Arabidopsis thaliana: one gene and its partner. The protein of the gene in region 2 interacts with the protein of the main gene of each other region in a pairwise test. Each region holds a gene or a part of one and is shown on either strand. Other genes may lie near its edges.

Evidence for each region.
Region 1: the proteins of SNL3 (region 2) and HD1 interact in a two-hybrid assay, tested with the Arabidopsis thaliana proteins (one study listed by BioGRID).

The regions. Positions count from the first base shown.
Region 1 is NC_003075.7:17,893,347-17,903,604, reverse strand, and holds HD1 (histone deacetylase 1), read left to right. Parts: upstream 1-4,095; 5' UTR 4,096-4,301; intron 4,302-4,542; 5' UTR 4,543-4,547; coding exon 4,548-5,075; intron 5,076-5,159; coding exon 5,160-5,600; intron 5,601-5,730; coding exon 5,731-5,961; intron 5,962-6,216; coding exon 6,217-6,287; intron 6,288-6,375; coding exon 6,376-6,433; intron 6,434-6,861; coding exon 6,862-6,933; coding exon of another isoform or gene 6,934-6,942; exon of another isoform or gene 6,943-7,007; coding exon 7,008-7,112; 3' UTR 7,113-7,327; downstream 7,328-10,258. Other genes in the region: pde191 (Mitochondrial transcription termination factor family protein), read right to left, coding at 210-1,193; AT4G38150 (Pentatricopeptide repeat (PPR) superfamily protein), read left to right, coding at 1,486-2,394; AT4G38140 (RING/U-box superfamily protein), read left to right, coding at 3,300-3,737; AT4G38120 (ARM repeat superfamily protein), read left to right, coding at 7,545-7,808, 7,883-8,061, 8,136-8,394, 8,473-8,540, 8,646-8,715, 8,834-9,199, 9,293-9,372, 9,454-9,505 and 2 more. UniProt on the Arabidopsis thaliana protein: Responsible for the deacetylation of lysine residues on the N-terminal part of the core histones (H2A, H2B, H3 and H4).
Region 2 is NC_003070.9:8,562,654-8,575,149, forward strand, and holds SNL3 (SIN3-like 3), read right to left. Parts: upstream 7,884-12,496; 5' UTR 7,726-7,883; intron 7,296-7,725; 5' UTR 7,275-7,295; coding exon 7,135-7,274; intron 7,049-7,134; coding exon 6,862-7,048; intron 6,776-6,861; coding exon 6,677-6,775; intron 6,601-6,676; coding exon 6,466-6,600; intron 6,377-6,465; coding exon 6,082-6,376; intron 5,985-6,081; coding exon 5,854-5,984; intron 5,776-5,853; coding exon 5,700-5,775; intron 5,612-5,699; coding exon 5,582-5,611; coding exon of another isoform or gene 5,557-5,581; intron 5,412-5,556; coding exon 5,197-5,411; intron 5,104-5,196; coding exon 4,949-5,103; intron 4,812-4,948; coding exon 4,684-4,811; intron 4,572-4,683; coding exon 4,317-4,571; intron 4,241-4,316; coding exon 3,596-4,240; intron 3,502-3,595; coding exon 3,416-3,501; intron 3,175-3,415; coding exon 2,563-3,174; intron 2,461-2,562; coding exon 2,360-2,460; intron 2,272-2,359; coding exon 2,133-2,271; intron 2,042-2,132; coding exon 1,889-2,041; and 11 more. Other genes in the region: IAR4 (thiamine diphosphate-binding fold (THDP-binding) superfamily protein), read right to left, coding at 39-729; AT1G24200 (Paired amphipathic helix (PAH2) superfamily protein), read right to left, coding at 8,520-8,624, 8,978-9,046, 9,126-9,224, 9,310-9,487, 9,585-9,724; AT1G24210 (Paired amphipathic helix (PAH2) superfamily protein), read right to left, coding at 11,117-11,218, 11,320-11,421, 11,522-11,645, 11,735-11,874. UniProt on the Arabidopsis thaliana protein: Acts as a transcriptional repressor. Interacts with ERF7 to repress genes in abscisic acid and drought stress responses. The heterodimer represses transcription by tethering SNL3 to DNA.

The DNA of each region.
Region 1 (10,258 bases), on a different chromosome or scaffold from region 2:
AATTTTCAAAAGGAAGTGTAGAATCCATGATAAACGAATGCATAGTGAATAATCGATGATATCTGGAAGAAAACACTCTATTGATATCACAATCACTCAAGGAAAAGCTCGTGCTAGAAATTGGTGCACAAGCTGAAAACAGCTTACAGAGAGAGCCTGATGAAGGAAAAAACTAGAGAGAGATATAAAAGCTAGAAGCTTGCAGTTACCTCCGAAAAGCCAAACTTCTCATGGAATTTCTTTGTGTTACAGTCCAGCATTTCTCTAAGGCTGCAGTCAATGTTGTTCTTTTTGACAAGTTTAAACCTCGATTCGACCTTCTTCTTCAATCCATGGTGAAAGAATTCAGGATAAGAAGCCACTTCATCCATGCCTCTTCCCATCACCTGGACGAGGAATCTGATCCTAGGCTGTAGTGAATTCTTAACACTCTTAATCAAGATTTGGGGATAACCAGTGACCATGGTTGCTATCTGGGAATCTCCAAACCCACACTCCTTCAAATAATCATAATTTGGTTTGAGAATCTTGTTAACGTCTCTGCACAAAAGTTGTGGGAAATTCATGACCACCGACTTAATGCCATCCTCACTCAGGCCAACGGATGATTTCAAGAATTCAGTGGTAGGCCGTAACCTTTTATCAACACTGTACCCCATAAGAAATGGGTTCTTCACCAGAACTTTGCCAATCATCCCATCTTGATCAAGGCCAAGGCTAGCAAGAAAGCTGACGATCACTGTCAGCTTGGTGTCGATGCTGTAGCTGATAAGCCTTGGGTTAAAAAGTATCATTTTGCCAAGTTGAGTCTCAGGCACACCTAACGCTTGAAAGAAAGCAAGAAGGGGACAGAGTTTCTCCTCCACGCTATGAGAGAGTATTGGAGGAAATTTGGTAATGGCGGAAGCAACTTCCCGAGGATTCCTTCCAAGACTGGAGAGGCACTCGACCATCGGGATGAGTCTCTCATCGAGGCGTAAAGTCAGGATTTTGGGGCATCGAGAGACGATGTAAGGGAGTTTTCTCTCTTGGATACCAACAATGTTACTCAGGTAGTCCCAGTTTTCTGATGCCACATCGCTTTGAGCCTTTTCCAACTGTTTGCATTTTCTCAACATCTTGTCGATACTCGGATCATCGAAACCTTTGTCCCTGAAGAACCACATGATGCTGCTCGTATTTGTCACCTCCATATAAACGCCACTACAACACACCAATTTTGCTTAACTTAGAGATGATTCGAGCTTTAACAAGGAAGTAGAGAGGAATTTACCTTGGAGGAGAGCCTTTCCGGCTATCCAATTGAACTGAAAGTGAGAAGCTTATCCACACGGAGGAGTGAGGACCTTCTTTCTTTCTTATACCCCCTGTAGAGTAAATGACTGTTATATCCCTCAATCCTTCTCGCGTGACTAAACCCTCCCCTTCTTCTCTCTCCGTCAAAATCTGCAAAACCCTAACTTTTCGAATCAGCGGCAGATAACGATGGTGCCTTCCTCCAAAGCCGTCGTTTTTGCAAGGCAGATGGCGAAGCAGATTCGTGTTACGACGCCGTCGATGTCCGCAACACGCTTTCTCTCAACGGGCGACAATGGTCAAGTAGACGAGCAGCAGAACCCTCCAGAGCCCTTACCCAACAGACCCTTGCGAGGGGAGAGATCTTCCAACTCTCACAGAGAACCACCCGCTAGACAAGCCCACAACCTTGGAAAGAGTGATACTACTCTGTCTGACGATGGCTTCCTCGAACAGTTCAAGCTTGGAGTCAATCAGGATTCACGGGAAACCCCCAAACCGGAACAATACCCGCAGGAGCCCTTACCGCCGCCTGAGGATTCCGATGAGATCTTCAAGAAGATGAAGGAAGGAGGTCTCATCCCTAACGCCGTCGCCATGCTTGACGGCCTCTGCAAAGATGGGCTTGTACAAGAGGCCATGAAGCTTTTCGGATTGATGCGTGACAAGGGTACAATCCCTGAGGTCGTTATCTACACTGCTGTCGTTGAGGCCTTTTGCAAGGCTCATAAAATTGAAGACGCTAAGAGGATTTTCAGGAAAATGCAGAACAATGGGATTGCCCCTAATGCCTTCAGCTACGGTGTGTTGGTTCAGGGATTGTATAATTGCAACATGCTTGACGATGCTGTTGCTTTCTGTAGTGAGATGCTTGAGTCTGGTCACTCTCCTAACGTCCCCACTTTCGTTGAATTGGTTGATGCCTTGTGCAGAGTAAAGGGGGTTGAACAAGCCCAGTCCGCTATTGATACCTTAAACCAAAAAGGATTTGCCGTTAATGTTAAGGCTGTCAAGGAGTTCATGGATAAAAGGGCTCCATTTCCGTCTTTGGCTTGGGAAGCCATCTTCAAGAAGAAACCAACCGAGAAACCCTTCTGATTTACTTACGCAGTGCTGTTAAGTATGCCGTCTCAGTAAGATGTTTTCTTGACTTGTAATAACAACCTTGAAAGTGAAAATCAATATGAGTCTTCCTTTTTCTGCTTGGAGTCAGGTATCGAGTTTTTTTTTTTTTCCTATGTCCTTTAAAAATGTGTAGTTGTAGATGTAGTTCCCTGTTTTCATGCATTCTAATATTGATTGCAAGTTCAATGAATAGCGTTGTGTTGGCGGTATAGGGTGTCAAATTATGCTTGACGCTTATCAGTCATTACCAATGATGTATGTGACTGTCTATTGCAAATGTGGCCGACTTCATGAACAAATATGAACAATAGTATCATTGGTTACATACACCAGGCATAAAACTACATCATCCTCCAAAGGCACTGCTGATCTCAGGGACGTGGAGGTCTGTTCTGTAGAAGCTGGCGCTATATTGAATACAAAATGCGTGGAGTCAACATTAAAATAGTTTTTATGATTCACTCGGAGATCTTTACTTGATTTGGTCGGCTGTATTATATTCGTGAACTCGGAAGTCAAGGCCTGTCTTGATGGAAGAATGACTCCTTACTTTTAATATATATATAAATAATACACTGGATATGAATGCCATCTTTTGTTTGTTTACTTTTGGCGTCATGTGATTCTTGTATTGTTTACTATTGTTAAATGCAAGTATCAGGTAGTGCTTAAGATGGAAGCATGTGCATCTCGTATGTTGACCATAACCTCTCCAAGAGTTTTCTTGGAGTTGGGAGAATCGCTGACTTGATTAAAGAAAAACAACAAAAGAATATAATAAGAGATGGGAGGTGGGGTCGGCGCCGTCCCTACTCGATGATATTAGTCTATAAAAGAGAGGGAAGGAATGAGGTAAAGAAGCAGAAAGCTGGAGAAAGATGATTTCAATGTTGTTTCCGCGGTCGCCTTTGTGCACAGCAGCCATAGTATTCTACACATGTGTGTGCATTCCCTTGGGGAGGTTGAAGAAGAATGGTGGAGATGCGGATGCGCATGATGATGACGGTTACAACCTAGTGGGAGTGATGTTTGGGGACAAGGAAAAGGAGGAGGAAATTTGCTGCCCCATATGCCTGGTGGAGTTTGAGGCTGAGGATGCGGTGACCCATCTTCCCAGATGCGCTCATCTCTTCCATATCAATTGCATAGAACCTTGGCTTCTCCGTGGCCACCTCACTTGCCCTCTCTGCAGATCATTTGTATTGGCTCCAACTCCTCCTACACAAAATGTCAATAATGCACACTCCTCTTCCACCTTGTATCTCTCTATCTTCTTCTTTTTCTGTATCTTTCTCCATCTACTTGGATACTTGTAGCCTAGCTTCCTTGTTAACACACCCATTCTTTATTTAACATGTATTTTGTCTTAGTTTCCAAGCACATATTGTCTCCATCTCCTTTTCAATCAAGATTTTGTGGATTACTCAGTTTTATGATATACTGTACTAAACAGAGACAAAAGCAGCACGAGTTTAGTTTTACCAGCCTTGCCTAGTGCCTACTGCTGCTCTAGTGCTCTGTTTCCTAATTGATTTGTTACTCTGCGTAAGACCATTAAGTAAACGGGCTAAAGGCAACTTAATAGGCCTTATTTTTAAAACACATTAAAAGTGGGCCTCATTTTAAACCATAACAGATTAAAAGTGGGCCTTTCCATTATAAACTGAAAGTAGAAAAAGTTGGAAGAGAAGAGTAAGTAGGCTACAGTTTCAGTCAGAGGTGAAAGAAAATCTGAAAGCAAAGCAGAGAGCAGCTCCCTTCCCCTCGGCGAGGAGGAAGGAAGAAGAAAGCCAGAGAGAGAGAGAGAGATCATCGCAGCTTCTCCTCCGACCATTTGACTGCGACTGTGATTACAACACACCGTTGATCCTACGAAAAAGGTCAGTCAGACTCTCTTCCTTGTCTGCGTGATTCCATTTTCCGGCGTCTGTCTAGCCTCGCCGTCTTTTAATATCTTTCACTCGCCTTCCTGTCTCTTCTGCACACTAGATTTGATTTTTTCGTAACTTAAAAAAATGTTGTTGTTGTCATTCAAACGCGTCCATGGCTCAGCTACTCCGCGGCTAGGGTTTAGTTATCATTTTTTAATAATATAATTTTTATGGATCGGCGTGCGTGCAGAGGTAATGGATACTGGCGGCAATTCGCTGGCGTCCGGACCTGATGGTGTGAAGAGGAAAGTTTGTTATTTCTATGACCCTGAGGTCGGCAATTACTACTATGGCCAAGGTCATCCCATGAAGCCCCATCGCATCCGCATGACCCATGCCCTCCTCGCTCACTACGGTCTCCTTCAGCATATGCAGGTTCTCAAGCCCTTCCCTGCCCGCGACCGTGATCTCTGCCGCTTCCACGCCGACGACTATGTCTCTTTTCTCCGCAGCATTACCCCTGAAACCCAGCAAGATCAGATTCGCCAACTTAAGCGCTTCAATGTTGGTGAAGACTGTCCCGTCTTTGACGGCCTTTATTCCTTTTGCCAGACCTATGCTGGAGGATCTGTTGGTGGCTCTGTCAAGCTTAACCACGGCCTCTGCGATATTGCCATCAACTGGGCTGGTGGTCTCCATCACGCTAAGAAGTGCGAGGCCTCTGGCTTCTGTTACGTCAATGATATCGTCTTAGCTATCCTAGAGCTCCTTAAGCAGCATGAGGTTTGTCCACCTGCACCGTTTTGATATATGCTAGGGATGGTTATGTCGTTTCTGAATCTCTAACTCTTCCTCTCTCGTTTGCAGCGTGTTCTTTATGTCGATATTGATATCCACCACGGGGATGGAGTGGAGGAGGCATTTTATGCTACTGACAGGGTTATGACTGTCTCGTTTCATAAATTTGGTGATTACTTTCCCGGTACAGGTCACATTCAGGATATAGGTTATGGTAGCGGAAAGTACTATTCTCTCAATGTACCACTGGATGATGGAATCGATGATGAGAGCTATCATCTGTTATTCAAGCCCATCATGGGGAAAGTTATGGAAATTTTCCGACCAGGGGCTGTGGTATTGCAATGTGGTGCTGATTCATTGTCTGGTGATAGGTTGGGGTGCTTTAATCTTTCAATCAAAGGTCATGCTGAGTGCGTCAAATTTATGAGATCGTTCAATGTTCCCCTACTGCTCTTGGGTGGTGGTGGTTACACTATCCGCAATGTTGCCCGTTGCTGGTGCTACGAGGTACTTTCTTCTGTTCATTTTATGCTGCTCTAGCTTTGCATTGAAATTTCCTTGGTCTCTGTACCAAGGTTAGCCCTCTGTGACGCCTCTCTTTCTTTGAATTTATTACAACAAACTGTTTATATGACAGACTGGAGTTGCACTTGGAGTTGAAGTTGAAGACAAGATGCCGGAGCATGAATATTATGAATACTTTGGTCCAGACTATACACTTCACGTTGCTCCAAGTAACATGGAAAATAAGAATTCTCGTCAGATGCTTGAAGAGATTCGCAATGACCTTCTCCACAATCTCTCTAAGCTTCAGCATGCTCCAAGTGTACCATTTCAGGAAAGACCACCTGATACAGAGACTCCCGAGGTATGCCACTTGAGCAAATCATTTGAAGTGTGTTGGCTCCTTTATTTCTGTTGCCCATTCTTTCTTGCATTTCCTCATGGGTTTTGGTGAGCTTATCTAAGTGTAACTGCAGTTACAATAAGAATTTTCTAATTTAAACAGCTGGGCTGGTAAATAATGTTCGTCCAGTTAGATATGTATAAGTATTCCTTGATTGATGACTCTGGTTGTTACCAATCTTAGTTTTGTAAAATATGCCTTCTATGTAAATTATAGGTTGATGAAGACCAAGAAGATGGGGATAAAAGATGGGATCCGGATTCAGACATGGATGTTGATGATGACCGGTATGAAATATATATGTTTCCTCCCCTTTTTATTTTTGGTTCGAGTCAGCGGTGTAATGTTTACTTAATGTGGGATCGCATTGTGCAGTAAACCTATACCAAGCAGAGTAAAAAGAGAAGCTGTTGAACCAGATACAAAGGACAAGGTACTACAGCATTATCTCTTAATTGTTTCGATTTCTCAGACACTTTTTCTGGTACAAACATTTGAAGTCATTAGTTCATCTAGGTTTACAGCATTTTCCAGAACAGCACAATGTGCTCTGATAACATTACACTTTTTCTCATCCCGAGACCCAAAACCTAAAGATTCCAGAATGAGTCTCATTCTGACATTAAGTCAGTTAGTTTAAGCTGGAGATACATTCACATGAGGGTAGCGAATCTTTAGCTACGGTTAAATCATTTAGCCTAGGCTATTTATTTAGTATGCTCCCAGCTCCAACAATTGACCTGATTAGATAGTGTGACCGTCTAGCCAAGCTGAGCTGAATCATCTCTGCCTCTCAATTCCTAAAGCCGTCTCCTTTTCTTCCGAGATTAATTTATTTATCATGGCATGTTGTTCGTGCAGGATGGACTGAAAGGAATTATGGAGCGTGGAAAAGGTTGTGAGGTGGAGGTGGATGAGAGTGGAAGCACTAAGGTAAAATGAAGCAGTGGACAGGGCTGAAAAGGGTGGGAATGGTGGTTTTCTAAAGTGGTTAGTTTTGATTGCAGGTTACAGGAGTAAACCCAGTGGGAGTGGAGGAAGCAAGTGTGAAAATGGAAGAGGAAGGAACAAACAAGGGTGGGGCGGAGCAGGCGTTTCCTCCTAAAACATAAGACTCGGAGCTTCTAATTTCTTGCTACTTTTTCTGTCTATCAAATGTTGCTAGTTAAGTTTCTGGAGTTGTTGTTGTTGTAAGCACTCCTCTGTTTTAGAGGATTGAGCACGGATATGTATTTATTCGTTGCATGTCTGAATGATGATATGATATGACAAGACGAGCTATTCCTTTTGCTATATATTTATTGATTGGGCCGAAGAGATCTGCGTCTGCCCACCCCAAAAAAATAAAGAATTGATGTGCTAAACGCAGCAATGAACATCATCAACTAGTGAAGTGGGTGGAGAAGATGTTTTCCTGTAACACAATTGATTTCTAACTCTAAATTAAAAAAATGTAAATCCCTTTAAGACTATTAAGCGTCTCTCTGTCTGTCTCTCGTCGTTCTCGTTTTTGATTGCTTAGTTTTTTCCCGGGAGACTGAAACATGTTCACGGCGGCAGCTTCGTCAAGCGTGGGAAGGTGGCGGACGGCGTTTCTCTCTCTCAGGGACGAAATCTCAACCACTCCACCGCCGCCGGTTCCTCTGTTGCTCGAGGATCTACTCTTCTCTCAATCCCATTCCCTTATCTCTGCCGTCTCTCACCTCCCACTGCACGAGCTCACTTCCGATTGCTTGTTCCTGCTCGATTTGGTTTCCAAAGCTGATGGTCCTGACTGGATCCCTGTCTCTCGTCATACTTGTCAACTGGTGCGTCTTCTCCTTCTCTCCTCCCATCATTTCCTTGTTATTAATGGGATCTCTCCTCCTTTTTATTAATCCAGATTCACGATGTTTGTGCTCGTCTACTTTTCCAACTAAATTCTTCGTCATGGCCGCTCCTTCTTCACTCTTTTGCTTCTGTCTTGGAGTTTCTTCTTCGCCAACCCATGCCTTCTTCACCTTATTCCGCTGCCTATTTCTCCAGAATCGAACCTGTGATCCAATGCTTCGAGACTTTAAGGTTATTATATATCTTCTCACAATCTTGCTGACATTGTTTAAACCTTATTCGTAATCTCCTCTTCCTTTTCCCAGACGTTTGGCCCCTATGCATCCGGAGAACATTCATCTAGTCAAGTTTCTTGTGCGCGTAGTTCCTTTATTACACCAGGATTTAGTTTTATCCTATGGTTTCTCAAATCAAGACCCTTCTCCTACTTTACTTGTGGAAAAGAAACTGCCTCAACAGAATCGCTTATGGGATTCCATGGCTCTTGCCTTTGACATGTTTGGTAGAGCATTTTCTCTATCTGAGTCTTTGTTTCCTACTGACGTCTCCCAATGCACGCTAGAGGTAATCTTCCCCTTCACTGATCGATCCTCTCATTTCTCTCATATGCTTTGTTTCTCAACTTGGTGAATTCTCATATAGGTTCTAAGGAAAGTAATGGACGTATTAGCATCTAAGGGCCAGCTTGTCGAAGACCGATTCATGTGGAGGTATATGCCTTTGGTTTTGTGGAGACTACAATTTACTCCTTTTTTTCTGGGTTCTATTAGACTTGTTGCCCTCTTAGGTAATATTCATTTCTTAATTTTCTACAGCTTTTATTCATGCCTTCTAGGCTGTGTGCACGAGGTCCTTACAAATATCAAATGTCCTGTTTCTGATCACGTAAGTGGGTTCTTGATACCCTTTGCTCCTCCTCTTAGCCTTGGATAAGTGATTTTCTGGTTTAACCTCCATATCAGACTTTTTTCCTTTGTTTAAGCAGATTTTTTAAATGTTGCAGGTCTTAAGTTTCATAGCGTCATTGAGAATGTTTTTCTGTTTTGGACTTACTGGCCCACCTCAGTTATCAGTTTCTGATGTTGTTCACAACGATAAGCATTTGAATGTCAAGCTTTCTCCATTGATTTCTGGAGTAAGTAAGAATGCCAAGAATACTCCTTATAGGCCACCCCACTTGCGCAAGAGGGATGATTTGAACACTAGGCAGCCAGTGTCTTCAAGCTGGCGGCGCCTATCTGCTCATGATTCTGGTAGTTCTGATGTTATATCATCAGATTCCGATTTTAGTGACAGTGACGGCTCCGTACCGGATTCTTATTTTGCCCAAAGCTCCAAGGTTAGAATAGCTGCAATTGTTTGCATACAGGTGAGTAACAATGTATTATTCTTAGTTGGTTCTCATCTTCTACTTAACTTTTCAGTGACAATTACTTATTCATTTTCTTTTTTTCCTGTTAAGGATCTTTGCCAGGCTGATTCAAAGTCATTTACCACTCAGTGGGTGACTCTCTTTCCAACAAGTGATGTACTCAAGCCAAGGTGGAAAATTAACCTACAACATCTTTTGTCACCATACCGTAGTATTTTCTTGTCTCCTTAACTTTCCGAGATCATTAACAGGAAGTTTGAAGCTACTCTAATGACCTGCTTGCTTTTTGATCCTCATTTGAAGGTGGTTATTCTTGTCCCTTTTCAAGTAATTGAGGCACATATTTCGATGCTGTTCTTCATTTTTCACCTTCCCAATAACTTTTATGGTTAAGCAAGTATGTCTAGAGATGTTTTTGTGGCTCAACTTCATGACTGCTGAATCCTGACAATACTTTTTTGTTTACCTTGCAATGTCTAGGTAAGGATTGCATCTGCGTCAGCTCTTGCCACCATGATGGATGGGCCTTCATCTATTTTCCTTCAAGTGGCAGAGTACAAGGAATCTACTAAATATGGATCATTTATGCCCCTCTCCAATTCCCTTGGTCTAATATTAATGCAACTCCACACAGGTTTTCAACGACATTAATTGTCTTAACCTTTTTCTTCTTGTCTGGCTATTAGTTATTCCTTGTTAACCAAGATTTTTATGCCTTTCGTATGGGTGTAGGCATTCTACATTTGATTCACAGTGATAATCATGGTAGATTGTTGATTCAGCTGTTCAAGATCCTCTTGCTTCTAATATCAAGCACACCGTACGTACATTTCTTCTGTGTTTTATTTTATTAGCTCCTCATGATTAAAATGATATTCGTTTTATTGTAAAAGTATTGTATCTTTTTAAAGGTATTTGATATCCGTTATTATAAACCCATAATGGCTCTTGATTAAGATTTACATTTGAGTAAGTGAATTAGGAAAGCTTCATGAATACATGCGTAGACCCAGCTCCGTTTAGCTAATGTTATCTTCTTATTAAAATTTGCAACTA
Region 2 (12,496 bases):
CACCAAACAAATTACAATTAACCAAAAAATAAACTCACAATGGTTATTCTCGCAAACAAGAATCGCAGGCAAATCCCACAAAGCCGAAATGTTCAAGGCCTCAAACAACTGTCCCTGATTCGCAGCACCATCACCATACAAAGCAAAAGTCACAGCCTCATCCTTATTATACTTCTGAGCAAAAGCCAAACCACATCCCAATGGAATCTGAGCACCAACAATCCCATGTCCACCATAAAAGGAAGCATCTTTCTTATAGAAATGCATAGATCCTCCTTTACCATGAGAACAACCAGTTTTTCTCCCCATAAGCTCAGAGAAAGCATCAACAAGCTTCCCACCACGACCAATGAAAGTACAGTGATCACGATACGATGTGATAATCGCATCTTTTTTGGTAATCGCCGCTTCCATTCCCACCGCTAAAGCCTCTTGACCATCGTACAAATGACAGAACCCACGGATCAGCTTCGCCTTGTAAAGAGAATCTGCTGCGATCTCCATCCTCCTCATCCGAGCCATGTCACGGAAAAAGGCTAAGATCTCCTCCGATGAAGTCTCGACGGAGCGTGACGGTGATTCACATAGATGCGATGTGAAAGGGACGGCGGTTTCGATTGTGATCGGTGATGAGTCTGTGGAAACATGACGGCGGATGGAGGAGGGCAAGGCGGTAATCGCCGGCTTTAGGAAAGTGTTGGATCGTGAAGAAAGTCGTGATAACGCCATCGCCGAAGCTCTCCGATTTGCTTTTAGAAATTCTCTTTTTTGCAGTCAAAAATCGAATCTTTTTAAAGTGAGGGAAAGAGTTAGGAGAGGGCGAAGCGTCGTTTATGGAAAAGGTCAAACCTTTTATGGTCATTTGACTCATTTCTATATAACATACCATAACAAAATGAAATTTTTGATAAATGTTACAACAACATACAAAACTTTACAACAAGAGAGTGAATAAAGACAAACTTTACATATGTAACATCATTTTTGTGAGTGATTGTTTTCTTTTTCAGTCACAGACAACAAAAAGCCAAATCCTTTGTTGCTTCTTCTTCTTATGAAGATAGAGAATGCAGTTTGGCTCTATCCGGTGAAGTCAACAATGGAGAATTGCCACTTTTGTTTTTGTTTTGTCTCTGTTAAGTTGGAGAGTGAATGAACAAGTTGAGTTGATTTGGTATCCTTCTTCCAGATTGTTACAGGCTGGTCACAAGAAGTTATTTTTGTAATATTGTAACCTCATTTGCCTTACCCAAGAATCCTGATTGTGGCACAAAGTTTTTCTTCTCTTTTTAACTCGCACCAACAAATCTTCTGTTTCTAGTACATAGGAGACCTGCAAGAGATTTTCAAGAACGTGCTTTCAAGTGCTGGTCTCTCATGGATATACTCATAAGCGGTAAGCGTGATATAGGGAAGAAGATAAAAGTGTTACCTTTGAAGAACCGCAAGCTATCTTACACTCCAAACCATTTTTGATCTTAACTTCATCTGTGCTGTATAACTGTTCATCTTCACGACAAACTTTGCGCTTGTTCCTGGAGAAAACGAAAAATGGCATTGGCTTTGATGAGTGACCCACTAGGTTTCAGAGATCAAGGGACAGTCATTTGTTCATGTTTTACATTTACCTATTTAAATAGATTCTGCGATCCTCCCTTGCATTTGGTTGTATGGAGAGGAAGTCATTGTGGAGATAAGCTGCAAAGGTCGGGTCAATGGATACAGATGTCACATCGGGCTTATCAAGACCGTTGCACATAAGCTGAATAGAGAGTTTCGCTGGGGTTGATAATCTCTGCATACACATGAGGTTTTGGAGTCCAAAAGCATGATCAGCAGTGCATCGACAGAATATAAGTAGCTAATGTAAGATGCAGCAAAAACTTACACATTCAATACGGTAAATATTCTCATCAGGGAGGAGGACACGGGTATTATCGTAATACACAGCATCAAAAATCGTTTCAGGCCTTCTGGATTTCTCATAAAAATAAAGCTGAAGAAGCTTGTTGTCCATCTCATCAGCTACTACTACTTGTAGCTGAAGAATGACCACACGTATGTTAGTAAAAAGCAAGTAAAGATAGAGAGGTGAATACATAGAGAAAACATCAAAGAGCAAAAATACTCACATGCTTGATGAATTTATGGATCAGTTTGTCCAATGTGAAGAGAATATAAGACTGAGTCCCGATTATCGCTCGGCAGTCATCTTCAAACTTGGCATTATCAGATGTACCATCAAGTAAGTTGTAGAGTGCAGTCATGAATCTGTTCCACATTAATTAAAGTTATAAGTATGGAGCACATATGAATCCCAGAAACACACACAATCTCTGCAATAAAAAGCAAATTTCACCTAGCATAGGAATCAGTAGGATTTTTGGTATTTGAGGTCCTCCACTTTCCTTCCGGGGATGATGAGTTAACTTTTGCTGATAGTATTCTCTCATACAATATCTGTCAAGAGTAATAGCGTAAAGTTAGCTAGTGAAAACTCTTTGTACTTTAGATTATACTGTTTATAATTTTTTCAAACTGTATATGATCTTTAGCTCTTACCCGGTGCAGCCTGAAAAGCACGTAAAACGAATCATTTCCATAGAAAACTTGGGAGTTCTTCAGAGAGTCTTTGTCCTTGTCATGCAAAGCTATAGCTGAAGGAACATACTTTACTAAGGGCTTTACATGCAGCAAGAATCGTGCTGAAACGGGTAAGGCAGACCCATTTTCTTCAGCATCATGTGCATCAGCCATACATTCAGCCTCACCTTCGCTTTCTCCTTTGTTATTGTTATCCAAATCATCCTCCGGATCTTCACCACCACCAGATTCCGTTCCAGAAACATCACCGTTCTCATATTCATTTCTGCTGTCCTCTGATGATCTTGCGGCGTTTTCGTCACCTTCAGCGTCATTCTCAGCCCTTGTCTCCAGACAAGATGGTTCCCCTTCTCTACTTCTATCTCCGCTAATGTTATTTCCAGTACTATCATTCGCTTTGCTGAAGGTCTCAAAATCAGTTTTTGCATAAACTGCAAAATTATCTTCCTCAAAGTCTCCATTTGGAGAAAGTTCACCTTCTTCTCTTTCAACTTTGGATGTTCCTGCCATCTCTTGGTCACTTGTTATTTCTACCGCGATCCCATTTGTCAATAACTTCTTGTTACCAACCTGTGAGACAAAGTTTATCAGTACCACCTCTTGGTTAACACAGAACTAAGGGTGTGTAACTTCAAATTTTAAAACTATCTAAGTTCCATATGAAGGACCTAAGCACCAAGTGCAAACAATGGGAGATATTGTTCCATATCAACAAAATTCGGTCCTTCATTTGAAATGAGTCATCTATATAGAAAGTATCAGATCAAAATATAAGATGATGGGACTAAAACGTGCTTCACTGAAACTATACCTCTAATTTTGGCCCATTACCATCATTCATTTTCAACTCCAACTCTGTTCCACAGGTCACAGGCTTCAGATTATTATTGCAATGTCCTGACCAAGTAAAGAGGAAACTATTCATTAACTGTACAAAGAAAATGAAAAATTCCAAGAGAACTAACTTCTAAGCAAGATTTTGAGGTGTTACCGGTCATGTGTACTATACTGCTTCCTCCATTACTTTGATCTAATAATCCATCCACAGCGAGAGCAGTTGAATCGTGTGCACGCTCAATAGAAACAGCTTGCTTGCTTTCAGGCTTTTCATCAGACGTAACTACATTCTTCAGCATTTTCTCATGCTGAGCAGTCTCACATAAGGCATCTGATGTCCTACCAGCGGCGCCATCCCTCTCCGAATTACTAGTTTGCCCCAACTGACTATGTTCATTAGCTTTTCGAGATGACTTTGAGCGTCTAGAGTCGGCAACACTAGCGTAATTGTGAGGACTTCCCTCACTCTCGCCAGCACTTGAACTACCGCTCTTTACATTCTGGTTCATGGACTTGACAACGTCTTCTTGGTCTTCAGCACCTTGAGGGCGAGAAGGAACACCAAATATTTGTTCCACGAAAGTTGTCCAAATCTTCATTACCTTATCTAACTGTTCGGTAGAGCACATTTCTGCACACGAATATTTGATCAGCTGGTAAAGATCTTCATGAAGGTCATGATCCGGATAATCAAACTCCAAATCTGGGGAAATGGATAGTCTATTTCCGGCTGCAAATGCAAGAAGTGAATCATCCTCTCGCTTCTTTTCAGTAATCTCTTTTATCTCTGCCAACAATGCTACAGAAAAAATATAGTACATAAAGTCACTTGCTTGATATAATAGAATAATGTGTGTAATAGGTTACGGACAAACCTTTCATGCTCAGCTTCTTTGAATCCTGCTGTTTGAAGTAGAAACTTCGATGATCAAGCGACTTGTAGTAATTCTTAGCATATATCTCAGCCCAGACTTTGTCAAAATCAGAACGACACCTTGCCCACTCTTCTTGCTTCTGTTTCAAACGTGTTAGGATAACAGGTAAAGCAAGAGACACGTTCTTCTTCAGCACATCCATCACATCGAGCCCGTGATCACCATACAACCGTTCTATGCATCTTAAGTTTAGAGCTACAAAGACAGTAACAAAGCAATCCATTAAAAAAAAAAAAAAATTTAAAGAGCTCAGCTGCTAGTGATTTAACATCCATGCTGCTTATTGTTTTACACCAGCTTATGTTACCTGTGAGGTGATCCTCGACACGGATGGGACTGTTGGTTTTCAGTTCATTACTGTTAATTTTTGTCAATAATTCTTCCACATGCTTTGTCGTTGAATTTACAGACTCTAATAGCATGTCCAGCTCAAACCTATAGCATAAAGAGAGGAATAATGGCTCACAATTTGACACAGAAAATGGCTCACAATAACAGGTCAGTAACCAATTTTTTTTTTTAAAGTATGGAATATAGGTTTCCAGTCCACCATTAGAAGTTGATTAACCAACCTGTCATCCTCACATTTGAAGAGGCTCTCTTCATACTGGTTCTTACGCATGTGGCTAAATGAATAATCTTCACTTCCTGATGTGACGGAGACCCAGTGATCATTAAGAACCAGTTTACCGATCTCTGTCTTCTGGCTTGCAATAGAAATTGGGTACTGCAAAAAGTATAATGTCTTACATTAGACTAATGAAACAAAAGATGAACTCAAGAATAGTAGATCCACATATAAAAGGCTGCAGCCACATACATTCTTTGGAAGTAACCGATAACTAGGAGTGCATTGTTCACAGTTCGAGAGATCTAGTTCACTGATTGGCTTTGCCCATTTCAGATTTGCAGCTGCTTTTTCAAGCCTTTCCTTTTCATGATCTCTATCTCTAAGCCCGTCATCTCTCTTATGTTCCTGGTCTCTATCATTGTCCAGTGACGGTTGAGGATATTTGCCTTCACTCCACAAGGATTCTGCAGTATAGTTTAGAATGGATTTGTTTTCTTTTCAGAACTAGAAATGGATATATCTGGAAAGAAGATCAAATTTCATAGTGGAGTTGTGTAGTTTCACTACTCGTGAATACTTCAAATATATCTCAGCATCAGATTCATGTACCCTTGCAAAAGATAAGTAGACTTACTCTTAGTCAGAATACCAGAGAGCAGTCCTTCTGCAAGAAGATTCAAAAGGTTACAAATCTGTCTTTTTTCTGAAATCAATGAATGTAGGAAGAGAGAAACATAGATTTGCCTCGTTACCATTCTTTTCACATTGCACCAAAAACTCTATAAAGGAATCCATGAGGTCAGGATATACTCCGATTAAATTCCCTACCTGATACAAGCACAAATGTTCATGAATCATTGCAAACAAATGCCACAGTGAAAATTTAAGCATTTTATTTATTCATACCAAAGATTGCAGTTCTGGTCGGCTGATTATCTCTTTTGAAAAGAGATTAAGACAACGTAAAAACTCCTGGTACTCTGAGGCGTTAAGCTTTTCCTTTACTCTATCGACAATAGCTAGATCTTGACTGTAACCTGACATCACATCAAACAAATATAAGTACACATGGAATAGCGAACGACAAACTCACTCCTTATCTTTCAAATTAGTTGTCATAAAACGAGAACTCACTTTTCATGGCACCTTTTTCATCATAAGTAGATGAACTAGGAACCGCTCCAGAAAGTTTACTTTGATTGGAAATTTCAGCAGGATCATCGCCTCTAATATGTAGTTTCTGCTTCTTGTTGAGAAATTGCTCTTTTTTGCTATGTGGTTCGAAATCTCTGGCATCCCTATGCTCATTTTCTTTGTTAGTACCTCTCATGTGTTCTTTATTTTCTTTCTTAATAGGTCTCTCCCGGTCCTGGTCAATATGTTCAGTACCATAGTCATGGTCAGGATGTGGAGTAATGATCCGGTCCTTCTGCAACAATTTCCAATCAAATGATGTTCAATAAAAGATTAGACATATAGAACATTGTATTTCTAGGAAAATAAAAGTCTGAGAAGAACCTTATCAGCCAGAGAAACCCCTCTCTCACGAACTGAAGTTTTAACAGATGGAATAGAGGCCGTTGCTGAAGTATCAGGTAGAAAGTGAGTAAACTCCACGAGCAGATCTGAATGATCCCGAAATAGGATCGCAACCTGAGATAGACATGTAAAACCTAAGTACAGAATAGCAACAAAAAAAAGATACACATAACAGCATCAATGAGCCTACCTCCTGGTAGACCTCAGTGATGGACTTGCTATCCCTTCTGTACATGTTTAAAATGTCTAAAAATGATTTGTATACACGATCATCTCCCTGAAACCTTGTCTGCAAATCAATGAATATCGAAGAGAGTAAGAAAGGGAAAAGCAGTAATTTCCTTGAGACAGTTTAGCACATAAACATATATATACCTTAATCTTGTTAACAAAGCTAATAGCTTCCTCAAACTCAACACGTTTCTTCAGTGGAGGTTGTCCATCCTCAGGTTGAAGTGTGATCTCAAAACCCTTAGGCAAGAAAGTATTAAACCCCAAAATCAACTCTTGGTGTCCTTTGAAAAGTTCTTTTACCCTAGTTATCACACCAGCTGTATCAACTCTACAATGAAAAACACAATTAAGCAATCAGTTCTCAGATACCAAGTTTTTAACCTAAACATAACAAGGAGAAGAAAAAAACTATACCTTTGAGATTTAAAATTCTTCATAACCTCGAGAAACTCGTCATATTTTCCACGTTGATCCTGAAATTTGTCCTTCACGGCTTTAAGATATGCAAGAGCGTCGTTTGTAGTTAGCTTCTGAGCACTTCCTCCTCCAACCATGGTGTTTGAAGTTGAACAGAGCTTCATTACCATTAAAAAAAACAGATCATTTAGAAAGCTATTCAACATCTCATAAGACCAAAGAACGTTTCTTTAGAGAATTCAAGTAAAATTTGGGATTCAGCAAAAGAACAAAAGCTGAAAACAACTTTCTTCATGTTCATCTACAAATCAAAACCTAGTAAAACTCAAAATCAATCACATAAACAAGGAAAATTCAAAGAACCGAACTTGAATTTCATCCCAATAAGCAACACCTGTAGATCTAGCAGCTACAGAAACAATTTATGAAGAAAAAACAAAAGGAGACGGACCAGAAAAAATCGATCTTAACTTAATCCTCAGATTATTTCACATTCAGTTCACGATTAAAATTGTAATACCCAAAAATCAAACAGAAAGGATAAAAAACGAAAGAAGATCATCATCGTTTATGTGTTAGAGAGTTTACCGAAGAAATTCAGAGAAGACGAAGAAGAAGAAGAAGAAGAAGTCTAGAAGAAGAAGCTTCCTCCGACGAAACAGCTGAGAAGACAAAAACTATTCAACAATTTTCAGACAGAAAGAAAAGACTCACTGAGCAAACGAGAGTTTTATGTTTTTATGAAGAAAGGATTGAGATTTCTCTCAAAGGAGTTTTACGTCTTCTTAAGTAAATTAAAATCTACATATTTAATACACTTTCTCGTTCGCTAAATTTTTCGTTTACTTACTTATTTCATTTTTCTGTTGACAAAAAATAAAATAAAAATCAAAGTTGTATTTTCTTGTTTTTATTACTTCCTTTTGTTGGTTGTATCATTTTAGGAGACTTATAATTTATCTTCTTCTTTTATTATTTTTAACATTTTTTTTCTTTTGGAAGTTTTTATCTCCTTTGGTATGTGAGAGAGACATACTTAATTTTGAAAATTTTTGATATAAAATAAATTATTCATTTTTTTTGGAAATAATTTTGTAATTAAAAAGTTTTAGATGATTAATCATATTATTAATAGATGTTTTTTTTCTCTTTATTTTGGTCAACATAGATGTTTTTTCTTAAAATTTCTAAGTTAATTACTTAATGCAAAACCTATCAAAATTATTAATGGGGAAAAAATGTTCTAAAATCATTGATGTAAATGGAATCTATATTACATTACACGGTTAGATTTTGCTTAAATCTAAAAAATAATATTTGGCTAACATTAATAGAAGAATAATTTAACTCTAACTTGATTAAAACCATAAAAACGGAACATATTATTCGCCTTTTAAATTCATTTTTTTTTTATCGGCATTACTATCTTTCCGGTAGACCGAAAACTTTGTCACCTTGTTCGTAGAATAATTCCGATAACCCTTATCCTCATGTTACACATAGTAAACTCATAGGTAAGCATTGAAATAACTAGGTAAAAAAAAAAGCATTGAATAACTATAGATGATGGTAATTTTGAATTTTGATAGTGGCTATAATTTATAGGGAAAAGAAAGCTATTAATCATGCATATTAAAAAGAAAAAACCTCTACTATTATCTCTGACTTGTAACTTTAAAAAAAAAAAACTACTTATATGTGAAGCGATTGAAGTAACATAGCAATCCTTTCGTCACAAAAAACTCTGAGAAATAGTTGGCAGAAAGCAATCCAACTCTTCAAGCAAATCAGGATGATCTATGCAAAACTGTGAATGCAACAAGGCTGTTGCTGGAGTAGCTGGAGTAGCAGGCAGAAAGTGAGTAAACTCCACAAGCAAATTGTTATGATCTAGAAATAGGATGGCAACCTGATAAGATAAACGTGTGAAACTAAGTAAAATATTAGCAATAAAAAAAAAAAAACTTAGTATGAATCAATGAGCCTACCTCCCGGTAGACCGCGGTGATGGGCTTCCTATCCTTTCTGTACATGTTTAAAATGTCTAAAACTGATTTGTATACACGATCATCGCCCTGAAACCTTGTCTGCAAATGAATGAATAACTAAGAGAGTAGGAAAGGGAAAAGCAGTAATTTCCTTGGACAGTTTATAACACATAAACATATATACCTTAATCTTGTTAATAAAACTAATTGCTTCCCCTAACTCGACAGGTTTCTTCTGTGAAGGTTGTTCATGATGTGTGATCATATAACCATTTGGTAAGAAGGCATTGAAACCCAAAAGTAATCCTTGTTGTTCTTTCAAGAGTTCTTTCATCCTTATTATAACACCAGATATATCAATTCTATACAACACAATAGTCGGTAATCAGTTCTCAGAAACCATGGAGTTTTACCTAAACCAAGACCAAATGCAAACATAAAAGTAGAAAGAACTTTAACCTCTGAGTTTTATAATCTATCATGATCTGAAGAAACTCGTCATATTTTTCACGTTGACCTTGAAATTTAGCCTTCACGGCTCTAAGGTATTTAAGCGCGTCATTTGTAGTAGGCTTGTGTGCGCCTCCTTCTCCAACCATGGTTTGAAGTTTAGGAAAGCTTTATTGTTCAAAGAGAGGCAGCCAAAAAAAAAGGTGAAACATTATTAGAATCAAAAGATGGTGCAAGGTTTCTTCAAAAAATATTGGATCCTTGAACAACCCCAAAGTCTTAACAACAAAACAATTCATTCCTCAAGGTGATCCATTATTAGTTATCACACGTAACCTACACATGTGAAGTAGTCAATTCAAACACAGGGCAAACCAGTCAAGTATTGGATTTAGATATGTCCTACTCTCATTCTTAACCAAAGATACCCCAATTCAGAGATTGCCATAGTATTAAGTCTGACGGGATTAGATTAACACTTTTTATTGGGGACAAAACAAAACTCATATCTAGTTTTGAGACTTCAAGTTGATTAAACTTCATCAGTCGGATTTGATATCTTATCACATATTACGAAAAATATATTCAAGGAACTCGATATCATCCCACGAATACAAATTACAACAAGCAACAGATCTAGCAACTACAAAGGCAATGAACAAAGAAAATAAAACTTGTAGTGGACGTAACGAAGATCACACAAAAAAGAAGAAGAACACATGTGTATAGGTACCAAAGACGAATGAAGAAGGCTTCACGATCACGAGCACGAAGCAGGGGAGACGAGTTTCTAGTCTCGGTAGGGTTTTGTTTATGTATTATGATTCCAAGGTTATGTAAGATTTTCTATTTATTTTAATGATTTTTTTTTATTATTTGGTGTATTTTAATTAATTATGTACTTTTTTTAAAAGGGTTAAATCATCCATTTTTGTAACTTTACCCTCCACCTCCAATATATGCAGATTAATCTTATAAAGTTTAAAATAATACGCAATATGACATTTATACGTATATTGTAAACGTTTTTACGATGATATACATTAGAATTTTAAAATTTTGAAGGCAGAGTTGAACTCTTCATCGTGAGGGTTTAGATTTAATATATTACATGTCAATATTTTACAAAATTAATAGTAAAGAAAAAAACAAAGAAGGGTTACAATGCGTATTATTTTAGACTTCATAGGATTAATCTCAATATGTTGGAGGTGAAGGATAAAATTGTAAAAATGGATGAGTTCGAAGTGTTTTTTTACACAAAACCCTTTTTTTAACAACCATTAATTAAGTACATAACAAAACTAAGAAATGAGTTTTAAAAAAATGTTTGATCTTTCATAGGTTTTTCATCAGTAAAATTCAACATAAACAAAATAAGGTTATGAGAAGTATTTTTGAGTTTTGTGACACTTTGAGTTTCAATCATCTGAGTATATCAAATTCAAATCTCATCCTCTTCATGGTGAAAAGCAAAGATTTAAAACCTCTACAAAAGAAACTATACACTCCATTCTCATTCATAAAAAATACATCACTCGTTATAATTGTAGTAGTAGTGATGCTGTTGATACAGGGTTCTTTGTGAAAAATCTGAGAAAGTCTTCAATCAAATCTTCATGATAGAAGAGAACATCAATGACCTGCAAGATAATATTATTTCTAACCAAATCAAACAAAGAGAACCAAAAAAAAAAAAAAAAAACACAAGTACACAAAATAGCCCACCAAGAACAAACATTACCTCCTCTTGCACCTCCTTTACCGACATCTTTCCCTCTTTAAACATCTTCATTAACCCGCGAATTGCCCCCACTACATGAGTATCAAGGCTCTGAAACCGTGTCTGCAGATGGACAAATTTGCTCTAGTTAGTAAAAGAGGAATCAAAAAAGGATTTTGGTGTTTCTCTCCAAGGATTATTTGTCATTTTAGCATGTGTTTACCTTGAGCTTGTTTATAAAATCCTCTACAGAAACAGGTGGAAGGAAGACACTGAAACCAAGAAGAAGATCCTGATGATCTTTCATCAGTTCCTCCACCCTTGCAATGACACTATATTTATCGACTCTGCAAAAAGAGACTAGTAACATCAGAATCAATTCACAGTTGAAAGTAAAGACCAAACCAAATATAACAGGGAAGAAAAGAATACATACCTATGATCACAAACACCATTCAAGAGCTTGATAAACTCTTGATATTTCGTAGGTTCATCATGAAATGTTTCCTTCACAGCAATGATGTATGAATGCGCATCATCCTTAGTTAGAGCAGGTGATACTCGTCTTCCAACCATGGTTTGAATCTAGCCTTTTGTTATCAAAAGAAAGAGAAGATTTTTGTTCAGTAAAACAGATCACATCATTGAATTTAACCTAGAAGCTATTATTACCACTTGAAGAAACAGAACCTAGAGTGCAGAAATCTTAATAACATTACTTAAATCTATGATTTGCCTCAACACTGAAATTGAACAAGACATAAAGCTGCAATAAGCTAAATTTCTCAAAATCCAAATAATTGTCAAAACCAAAATCAACAACAACTAATTCATTCCCATCAGAACCAACGTGAGAACTTGTGTAAAGTGGCCAATATCAACACAGAGCAAACCAACCAAACACTTAGAAGTCTTAAAATCTCAGTCTTAACAAAAACAATAAGAAGTTAATTCGCTAATTTGAGGGTTTAAATCGGATTTGATGAAATTCAGGTAAAATTGATCACACAGGTACGAAATTAAATTCGAAGAACCCAATTCGAAATCATCCCAGAAACTACAAAATCATTCAATGACAATAAGAGAAGAAGATCATCGTATAGTTACCGAAATTCGAAGACAAAAAGGGCTTCCCTAGCTTACGAGTTACGACACACGATCTCGAAGAAGCAGGAGACTAGAACTAGAAGAAGAGATT